Saccharomyces cerevisiae S288C: one gene and its partners. Each later gene encodes a partner of the first gene's protein in a complex. Each region holds a gene or a part of one and is shown in the gene's direction. Other genes may lie near its edges. The genes, in order: MRP51, PET123 and RSM19.

What was found.
Region 2: MRP51 (region 1) and PET123 share a complex: the UniProt entries of both Saccharomyces cerevisiae proteins name them as parts of the mitochondrial small ribosomal subunit.
Region 3: MRP51 (region 1) and RSM19 share a complex: the UniProt entries of both Saccharomyces cerevisiae proteins name them as parts of the mitochondrial small ribosomal subunit.

The regions. Positions count from the first base shown.
Region 1 is NC_001148.4:324,883-328,247, forward strand, and holds MRP51 (mitochondrial 37S ribosomal protein bS1m MRP51), read left to right. Parts: upstream 1-1,745; coding exon 1,746-2,780; downstream 2,781-3,365. Other genes in the region: putative DEAD-box ATP-dependent RNA helicase DBP1, read right to left, coding at 1-1,382; isopentenyl-diphosphate delta-isomerase IDI1, read right to left, coding at 2,982-3,365. UniProt on the Saccharomyces cerevisiae protein: Component of the mitochondrial ribosome (mitoribosome), a dedicated translation machinery responsible for the synthesis of mitochondrial genome-encoded proteins, including at least some of the essential transmembrane subunits of the mitochondrial respiratory chain.
Region 2 is NC_001147.6:630,047-633,683, forward strand, and holds PET123 (mitochondrial 37S ribosomal protein mS26 PET123), read left to right. Parts: upstream 1-2,117; coding exon 2,118-3,074; downstream 3,075-3,637. Other genes in the region: SUMO ligase NFI1, read right to left, coding at 1-494; PUP1 (proteasome core particle subunit beta 2), read right to left, coding at 920-1,705; mRNA splicing protein SME1, read right to left, coding at 3,236-3,520. UniProt on the Saccharomyces cerevisiae protein: Component of the mitochondrial ribosome (mitoribosome), a dedicated translation machinery responsible for the synthesis of mitochondrial genome-encoded proteins, including at least some of the essential transmembrane subunits of the mitochondrial respiratory chain.
Region 3 is NC_001146.8:694,552-697,080, reverse strand, and holds RSM19 (mitochondrial 37S ribosomal protein uS19m RSM19), read left to right. Parts: upstream 1-1,753; coding exon 1,754-2,029; downstream 2,030-2,529. Other genes in the region: putative ATP-dependent RNA helicase DBP6, read right to left, coding at 1-1,486; mitochondrial 37S ribosomal protein uS12m MRPS12, read left to right, coding at 2,259-2,529. UniProt on the Saccharomyces cerevisiae protein: Component of the mitochondrial ribosome (mitoribosome), a dedicated translation machinery responsible for the synthesis of mitochondrial genome-encoded proteins, including at least some of the essential transmembrane subunits of the mitochondrial respiratory chain.

The DNA.
Region 1 (3,365 bases):
ACGTTAGCTTTGAAAGCAGATAAGGCACGTTCACGTTCAGCCTGTGTGCGGTCACCATGTATGGCTGTAGCTTTGAAATTTTGCATGATCAAAAAATCTGTGAGTTGATCCGCCATTCTTTTCGTTTCAACAAAAATCAATGTCAATCCCTTATGCTCTGCAGACAGTAAATCTAACAACGCAGACTTTTTGTCCATGTCATCGACATATAATATTCTTTGCGTGATATTTTCTGAGGTGGAACCGACTCTTCCTACTGATAAAAAAATATAATTATCTAAGAAATCGCGTGCCAAATGCTGGATATCTACTGGGAATGTGGCGGAAAACATCAAGGTCTGTCTATTTTCCACAGAGGGCATATCACATTCTTCAACTATATGGCGAATTTGGGGTTCGAATCCCATATCTAGCATTCTATCAGCCTCATCCAATACCAGGTATTTGATATTAGCCAAAGAAACTTTTCCGCGTTCTAATAAGTCATTCAGCCGCCCTGGTGTAGCCACCAATAAGTCACAGCCGCGGTCAACCTCCCTCATCTGGTTACCGATTGGCGCGCCACCATAAACAACGCATGGCCTAACCCAAGATCTATACGTAAATTTTCTTGCTTCTTCAAAAATTTGGGTAGCCAATTCTCTAGTTGGTGCAAGTACTAAAGCAGATGGATATCCCTTTCTAGAATAAAAGCTCTGTGCTTTCTCGGGTACTGGAGAGGGCCCAGACCTGAATAGCTCCGTGAAGAGCGGAAACAAAAACCCACCTGTCTTACCTGAGCCCGTTTGTGCGCATGCCATCAAATCCCTACCTTTGGTAACTATTGGAATAGAATATTTTTGTACTGGAGTAGGTTTGGTGAAACTAGCAAGTTTGATATTTTCCATTAACAGCTCATCCAGAGGGGGAGAACTAAAATCTAGTATAGGTTCAGGAACATCTTTTCCAGATGCATCTACGGGAATATTATCGTAATTATCAAACTTTATACCAGATGAATGGTAATCGGGATCGTCGTGTACACCAAACAGTTCGGCTTCTAATTTCGCGTTCTTAGGCCCCGGTATATGCTTGCCATTTACCCATCTATTTCCAGATGATTTGTAATTTGAGCTGCCTCCGCGGTTATAGTTCGCACTCGTCCCTCCATTTCTTTCCTTAGAAAAGCCAAAAAACCCGCCATTGTTCCCAGTTTGCCTTCCAGCACGTCTGAAAAAATCACCACCCGTAACCTTATCTTCCTGTTTTGGGGTACTTCTTTCGAATGATGGTTTTCCTCTACTTCTCAAGTGCGGTGGGACATAAGATGATTTGCCGCCACCACCACCATTCTCTTTGTTGTTGATGCTTAAATTAGATACCTTCTGTGGCAAGTCTGCCATTTTTTCTTGTAATACTTTCACTCAAAGGGGTTTTTCTTAAAATATCCTTTAACTGACACTACCGATATCTTTTATAATCATGAATAATCCTTGTTATAAAATAAAGGCATTACTTCAGAGATGACCTTAAGTAACCTTCCCTTAAAATTGTTAAAGAACTCGCGGGGTAATATTTACGTTGACAGTGATATTTGTTTTGAGAAATCAAAGAATGAAGAACTTAGATGTAGAGTTAAAGGAGCAATACGAATAGGTGCCGTGATGAAGAAAAAAAATCATACAGACATTTGCTACAACCCTTGGTGAGACTGTTTCGATCATTTTTCTTTTTCTTTTTCTTTATTTTAGAAAAAATTGAACGAAATGACATTGGCAGAGTTGCTTGGACGGTCGAGAATAGCTCAAGTAGCTAACAATCATAAACCATTGACATACACTGGCAAAAAATTTCATCCAACACATCAAATCATCGAAACTAAGCCATCGACACTATACAGACAAGAATGGGGGTTGAAATCCGCTATTCCTTCGAAAATTAAATCTCGATATTTGGTGTACAACGATTTGGATACGTTGGAAAGAATTACCACATTCGAACCTAGAGGCGGTACGCAATGGAATAGGCTAAGATTTCAAGAAATGGGAGTACCAATTGTGTCTAATATAGGCAGACAAAATCCATTTTTCAAGTACATATCTCGTCCTGAGGATGAGTCTCATGCTAAATTGTCCTTATTCAAAGAAATGAAAGGAGATACAGATATTTCGCCTGCTGCTATGAAGAAGCGTTTGAAGAAGATAACAGCACTAATTAGATCGTTTCAAGATGAATTTAAAGAGTGGCTGGTGGAAAATCATCCGGATGAATTGAAATTGAATTCTAATAAGCTGGAAGACTATGTAGTGAAGTTTCTAAACAAAAAGTTGGAAACAAAAACGAATAAAAAATTTAACACTGAAATCATTGGTACAGGTGGATTATCATACAGCTTGCCAGGAAAGCTAAAAAACTCACCAAATGGTGTCATTCAAAGGACTGTAGTACCCGGTAGAATCTTGAACGTTGTTAAGGAGAACAACGACAATAAATGGCTGGCAGCTATTGGTGGGTTTGTGGCCGATGTGGTATTTTTCCAATCACCACCTAGTTCCTTTAACTCCATGGGAGATTTCATCAGAATGAAAACGTTCTTGTTCGAGATCTTGGAGGCATCTATGGAGAAAAATGGTTCTGTTTCGATGCACGCTAGATTACTCGAACCACAAAATGACAAGACCAGAGAATTTTTCAATAAGAGACCAATTTATAAACCATTGACCTCTAGAAGGGCACGTCGACCATCAGTGGGAAACATTCAAGAGGCCAATAACCTTTTGAATATAATCAAGGGAAATTGAGAAGAGAAAAAAAAAATGTGAACAATCAATGTATATTCAGAGTTCTGTAAATAAATAAAGAAAATAAAGTTTACATATTACTAAGGATTTTTGTCGCCTATTTTTACTATTTTTCAGGTGAAATGAAACGTTTTATATCACATTTTGCTATGATAACAAAGTTATTATGATTTTTATGTAGCCTATATTATTGACGCGTTGTTATAGCATTCTATGAATTTGCCTGTCATTTTCCACTTCAGAAAGGTCATCTAATTGCTCCCACCAGTTGAATAAGTAATTCTCGCAAATAATCTTAAACCAAGGCGTAAACTTGTAACTTGGGTCAGCAAACATAGTTTTCAAATCATTTGGTGAAACCCATTTGAAGTCTCTAACTTCATTGACGTTTGGGTTGACAGTCAAGTTTTCTTTAGCGTTGATCTTATAAAATAGGATGTAATCAATTTCATGTTCACCCCATGGTTCATTGCTTGGTGCCATGTAATGGATTCTGTTTAAAAAGTGAAACTTACCCCTTGTCTTAGTTTCATCTTCTGGAATACCTAATTCATGATCTAGTTTTCTCACCGCCGCAGTAATAGC
Region 2 (3,637 bases), on another chromosome or scaffold:
ATTTGTACTATTGGTTTGTAAAACGGTGAGGTAAAAGAATATGCTAAGGCCTGTTGTTGGGAATAAGGTGGCAATGCAGTACTCTGGAGAGCTGTCACGGGTAGTTGCCCCGATGCTACAGGATGCTTGAACGCACCCGTCTTTAAAGTTTCCCAAAGGGTAGAGTATTTTGGTAATGATGAGTTTATCCTTACTTTCGCGATAAGAATCTTAATAGCCTTAGGCCTCCACGGATCTATATGTCCAATATCACAGGATTTTCTTAAGAATTGTTTTATTCGGTCTTGTAAGACAGCCTTTTTGCCCGTTATGGATAAATCCAGAGATTTGCATATTTGCTTTAACTCTAGAACCTTTAATTGTTCCATTTCATTTATTGCATCTTTTATTTCATTTATGAGTCCACCACCTGTGTTGGACAAAGGGTTCGTAAACATATAACTGGCATTATTATTATTATTATTATTATTATTATTTGACATGACACTTGCCATCGTGCTCTTTTCCCTTATACGTTTCTTGATTATCAGTGTATCGTTTGTGGTATTCTTAGTTCCTTGATATTTGCCTCAGTAATAGCCCTTTAAAGACCAACAAACGGATGACTATAGAAATGTTAATTTTAGTGTTATGTTATATGTGTGGTACTGAGCTGTGTTTGTTATATTATGCTCTGTGTGATAAAATAGCTAAAATGGATGGATAAATTAACACGAAAATTAACGAACAAAAATCAACTAACACACTTCAAAGCATAAAAAAAAGAAAAAAGAAAAAGAATCAAGAACAAATAATAAGCTCTGCTATAAGAAAATATATTATGTAAATAGTTTTGCGGTTAGTTTTTGACTTCCTTTATCACATTTTGTTGAACAATGATTTACTATACTAAAATATACTTAAGTTCTATGTTTTACTTTCAAGCCGTTATATCGACTTGTTCTTCTTGTATGTCACAAATATTGACAATACTCTCCTTCAGCACAGCAGTTGTACCCCTGGGGAATTTGTAGCTTTTCTGCTTTTCTTCTCTAACATTTGGAGTCAAGTAATTCCTCAAGTATTCTGCATCTTTACCTATTTCCATGACACACACATCCACATTAGAACCAGACCCCAAATCATTCCAGATACCAGCCTGGATTGCATCAGAGGCCAACTTTATGGCTTCCTCCTTCGTAAGGTCTTGCTTCCAGTGTGATTCCAACACAGCCATTGCCGCTAGAGAACCAGATCCTAGAGAAAGGTAGTAGCCCACGTCAGTAGAACCATGCGCATGAATGGAGAACAAATGAGATCCCGTAGGGTCTACACCTGCAACAATCAAATAAGCACCAATATGACCTTGGTACTTAAATAGGTGCTGCTTTAGCATTTGTAAAGCTGAGACCACTCTTGGTTCTCTCGAGGTATATAAGGAATGTAATTCAATGTTAGACCCGATCAACTGCGTAACTGCCTCAGTATCGGCGGCGGTACCGGCACCAGCACACCATATTTTGGGGGAAATTCTATGCAATTTTGCGCAATTCTTATCTGCGACAATTGGACCTTGTGTTGATCTTGTATCTGCTGCAATCACCACTCCGTTATTGAATTTTACGCCTACAATGGTGGTACCCGTGGAAGTTGCCTTAGGTTGTGTGTGCGAGTTTTCCGCTAAGAAATTATTTCTTTGATAATTGTCGAACGATAAACCTGCCATGCTCACTCAATTCTATTTTCTACAATCAGGTTTATGTGGGGGGAGTATTCCTGAAAAAATTTAACGCTTTACTATACAAACTCTCCACCTCAACTGATCACCCTTCTGCTGAATTATTAGTTTATCCTTTTCATCTTTCTTTTTGGTATTTTGCCACTCGGCCGGGTTATAAAATACGAAACATGGCCCTAATTTACCCGCTTTTACAATAAAGGGTTTGTAATGAGGGTAAAAATATTGGCCCTAATGAAAAATCACTAGCAACGGAAGTGCAAGTAGAACCCTGAAGTCGCCGAGTAGGAAAGTGATTCCCAAGAGGAGTAGAATAAAGAAGAGAATCTACATATGGATTATTTAGGTAATAGTTTCATTGCTGATTGTCAACAACAATAATAACAAGGATAATTGAAGTATGGGGAAAGGTGCGGCCAAGTATGGTTTTAAAAGTGGGGTTTTCCCCACAACAAGGTCCATTCTGAAGAGCCCCACTACAAAGCAGACTGATATTATTAATAAGGTAAAATCACCCAAGCCCAAGGGTGTTCTTGGTATTGGGTATGCCAAAGGTGTAAAACATCCAAAAGGATCACATAGATTATCACCCAAGGTAAACTTTATCGACGTGGATAATCTCATTGCGAAGACCGTTGCTGAACCCCAGAGTATAAAATCCAGTAACGGTTCAGCACAGAAAGTGAGATTACAAAAAGCTGAATTAAGAAGAAAGTTTTTGATTGAAGCATTTCGCAAGGAAGAGGCTAGGCTATTACACAAACACGAGTATTTGCAGAAGAGGACAAAGGAACTGGAAAAAGCAAAAGAACTGGAGCTAGAAAAACTAAATAAGGAAAAATCTTCAGACTTGACTATTATGACTCTAGACAAAATGATGTCTCAACCTCTTTTAAGGAACAGATCACCAGAAGAGAGCGAATTGTTGAAGTTGAAAAGGAATTACAATCGATCGTTGTTGAACTTTCAGGCGCACAAGAAAAAGCTAAACGAATTATTAAACCTCTACCATGTCGCTAATGAATTCATCGTTACAGAATCCCAACTACTAAAGAAAATTGATAAGGTTTTTAACGATGAAACGGAGGAATTCACTGATGCCTATGATGTAACTTCTAACTTCACGCAATTTGGAAATAGAAAATTATTACTTTCAGGTAACACCACCCTACAAACCCAAATTAACAACGCAATAATGGGCTCTTTGTCAAACGAAAAGTTTTTCGATATTTCTTTAGTGGATTCATATCTGAACAAGGATTTAAAAAACATTTCCAATAAAATTGATTCCAAATTAAACCCCACCTCTAATGGAGCTGGAAATAATGGTAATAATAATAATACAACCAACTTGTAAATAACTAATATATATACTACTTCAACATGTCATGTATTCGAAAGTGCCTTAGACGCATTACAACTAAAGAAAAGAAGAAAAAAAAATCAAATCGAGAATAAATATGCCCATGTATATACGTCACTTGCGAATTGTCTATTTCTCTCGTTCCCCTTTTTCTTTCAGTCCGCTGATGTTATCAATGTGATATTATCGCCTTTCAACAGGATCTTCCCCAAGGGCGTGCCCTTCTCCACATCTTCTTTACCATCGGCACTATTCACAGGAATTTCCACGGCTTCATCGATGACAACATTCATGAACTCATCAAATCCAACTATTTTACCCTTGATTCTTATGCCGATTTGCTCGAATAACCATATCGTTACTGGTGTTTGCTGTTGTAAGAAGTTAAATATGCAATTTATTGGTGGCACCATGGCCTTGGTTTTAACTTTGTTCGACATTCCAAGCCTCTTGTTTTTCGCTCTATATCCTTCCTGTGTTCCTTAATCTCCTTTCCTTAGTATTATCTCTTACCTTTACCATCTATTATTGTTATTTCACTTCAATTTTCTATTTCT
Region 3 (2,529 bases), on another chromosome or scaffold:
AATTGACAGAATTAATACTCACCGCCAAATTTTGAAGGTTTTTCAATACGCTGGATTGTGAGCGAGATTCACAGATAAGTTGTAGTAACTTGCTTAATCTGATAGACGATTCATTTGATTTAACGAAAATCAAAATCTTTGCAGCAATGGGGGAATGTGCCATAAATTGGCATATTGAATACAACAATATCAATGGCTTGTAAACACTTTTCGCCGTGGGAATGTTGATGTTAAATTCATTCAATTTGTTAGGTAGCTGGTACAATTTATCGGTTTGCTTCAGGAACAACTTTGGTTTGTAAAGGTTCAAGCCGTTTAACTTTTCTGTGTTGGTAGTCAATGTCGCACTGAAGATCATTTTGATCACGTTCCCTGGAAGTGTATCTAATTTATCCGTTTTCAAATGGGACATTAGTTTTGGACACCAGCCCTGGAAGGACTGGTTCAAAAGACGATCAGCCTCATCGATAATCAAAAACTTTAGGTTTTTCAAATTTATCGATTTCATATTTAGATGATCTACTAATCTACCAGGTGTAGTGATTAAGATATCTGGTTCCAAATTTGATAATTTTTTGTGTTCGTCCTTCAAAGAATTTTCTAATTTGGCAATGCTCACAATAAGCGACGTCCCTTGAGTTAGCTTTGTCAACGTAGTATAAACTTGGTTTATCAATAGTTTTGTGGGGACGATGATTATACAACGCAGTCTGTTAATTTGTCTCTTGAAGAGGGTTTGAACAATAGGAATGGAGTAAGCCAAAGTTTTACCTGAACCGGTAGCAGCATTTACAAGAATATCACCGATTCTTCTGGTGAAGTTTCTCTTAGATACGTTCAACGTGAAGTTCAATACCGGTAATATGGAGTCTAGGATGATCGATTGGATGGGAAAAGTGTTTGTAGAGAAATTCTTGCAAATATTCTGCAGTAGTTTTGCTTCTAATTCATTTGCGTAATCCGAGAACGGTTTGATCAAGGAATTATCATAATATATCTTCTCAGTATTTAACCAACCCGTAGATTTGAACTGTAATGAATTTGTATTCAAATTCATTGGGTTTTTGACGAATTCAGGTTGAGGAATCTGTTTTAGTTGGTGAGTTGAGGCCGCCTCGTCTTCAATACCTTCGTCTTCCTTACTCTCAGCAATATCAGATGCACCTAGCCTTTCTTGCAATGATACTGTTTGCTTGAATCTCGATAGCACTGTGCTGTGAGTACTTGGCTTACTCTCTTCCTCTTCCACTTCACTCGAATCCTCTTCACTAGCCCCATAATCTACTTGCATACGGTCTTCGTCTTCCTCTGAACTAGAGTTGGAACTCTCATCAGAATCTTGGTGAGAGCCATATTCTTCATTATCAGATTCAGTAGCCTGCCTCTTTAAAGGCACAATGGCCGGGGGAGTAGTTCCGACGATTCCTTCTGGTGCGCTAGCTGCAGGAGCAGTCAATTGGCTAGGGTCAAATCTCGATGCAAACATTGTCACTACCGGTCACCAATGGTAAAGGTGTCCAGTTTCGAGCACATCTCATCGCCAGTTATGCTTTCTATATAATACAAATCTGCAATAATTTTTCAAATTTTAAGCATCACCCGGCATTAGCGTTTGGATCACTATTCACGGTTATGGCTGAGCAAGAAATGGCAATTGGAAGCGCCTAGTAAGAATCTAACCATGACTTAAAACGGTGAGGTTCATTGCAAGAGCAGTACAGCATCGGCAGAAGTAGTGTCCACCAAAAATAAAATGCAACCGGCAGCTAGACTTTTATCGCGGTCCGTATGGAAGGGCCCCAACATCGTGCCATTACCCATAAGGGAGGCCATGACTAAGGGCACTCCAATAAGAACAAACGCAAGGGCCGCCACCATCCTTCCTCAGTTCGTGGGACTGAAATTTCAAATACACAATGGTAAGGAGTACGTACCTATTGAAATATCAGAAGATATGGTGGGCCACAAACTGGGCGAGTTCGCACCTACCAGGAAGCGTTTCAGCTATACTCAAACCAAGAACAAATGAGGGATCTAGTGTATATAGATTTCTAGATGATATATCATGTAAATAAGATCAAGCCAGACTCGGGCTGTATATATATATATATATAGCATAATAAACAGTAATAGTGCTTTTAAAAGCATTTCAGTCTTACCCGAGCGACAAAACGATTTGGGGAGAAAAAACGCATATAACCAGGGAAAAGACGGAGAACTTACAGGTACACCAGAATTGAAGCAGGCCAACAAGAGCCATGTTGTCGAGGTTTATGTCCAACACATGGTGTACGCCCTTGAGACAGGCGCAGAGATTGTTTTCCTCCACTACGACAATGCAAGCGACATTGAATCAGATTAAAAGAGGCTCCGGGCCTCCAAGACGCAAGAAGATAAGTACAGCTCCACAACTGGATCAGTGTCCCCAGCGGAAGGGTGTCGTATTACGTGTAATGGTTTTAAAGCCCAAGAAGCCGAATTCTGCGCAGAGAAAGGCGTGCAGGGTCCGTTTGACTAACGGGAACGTGG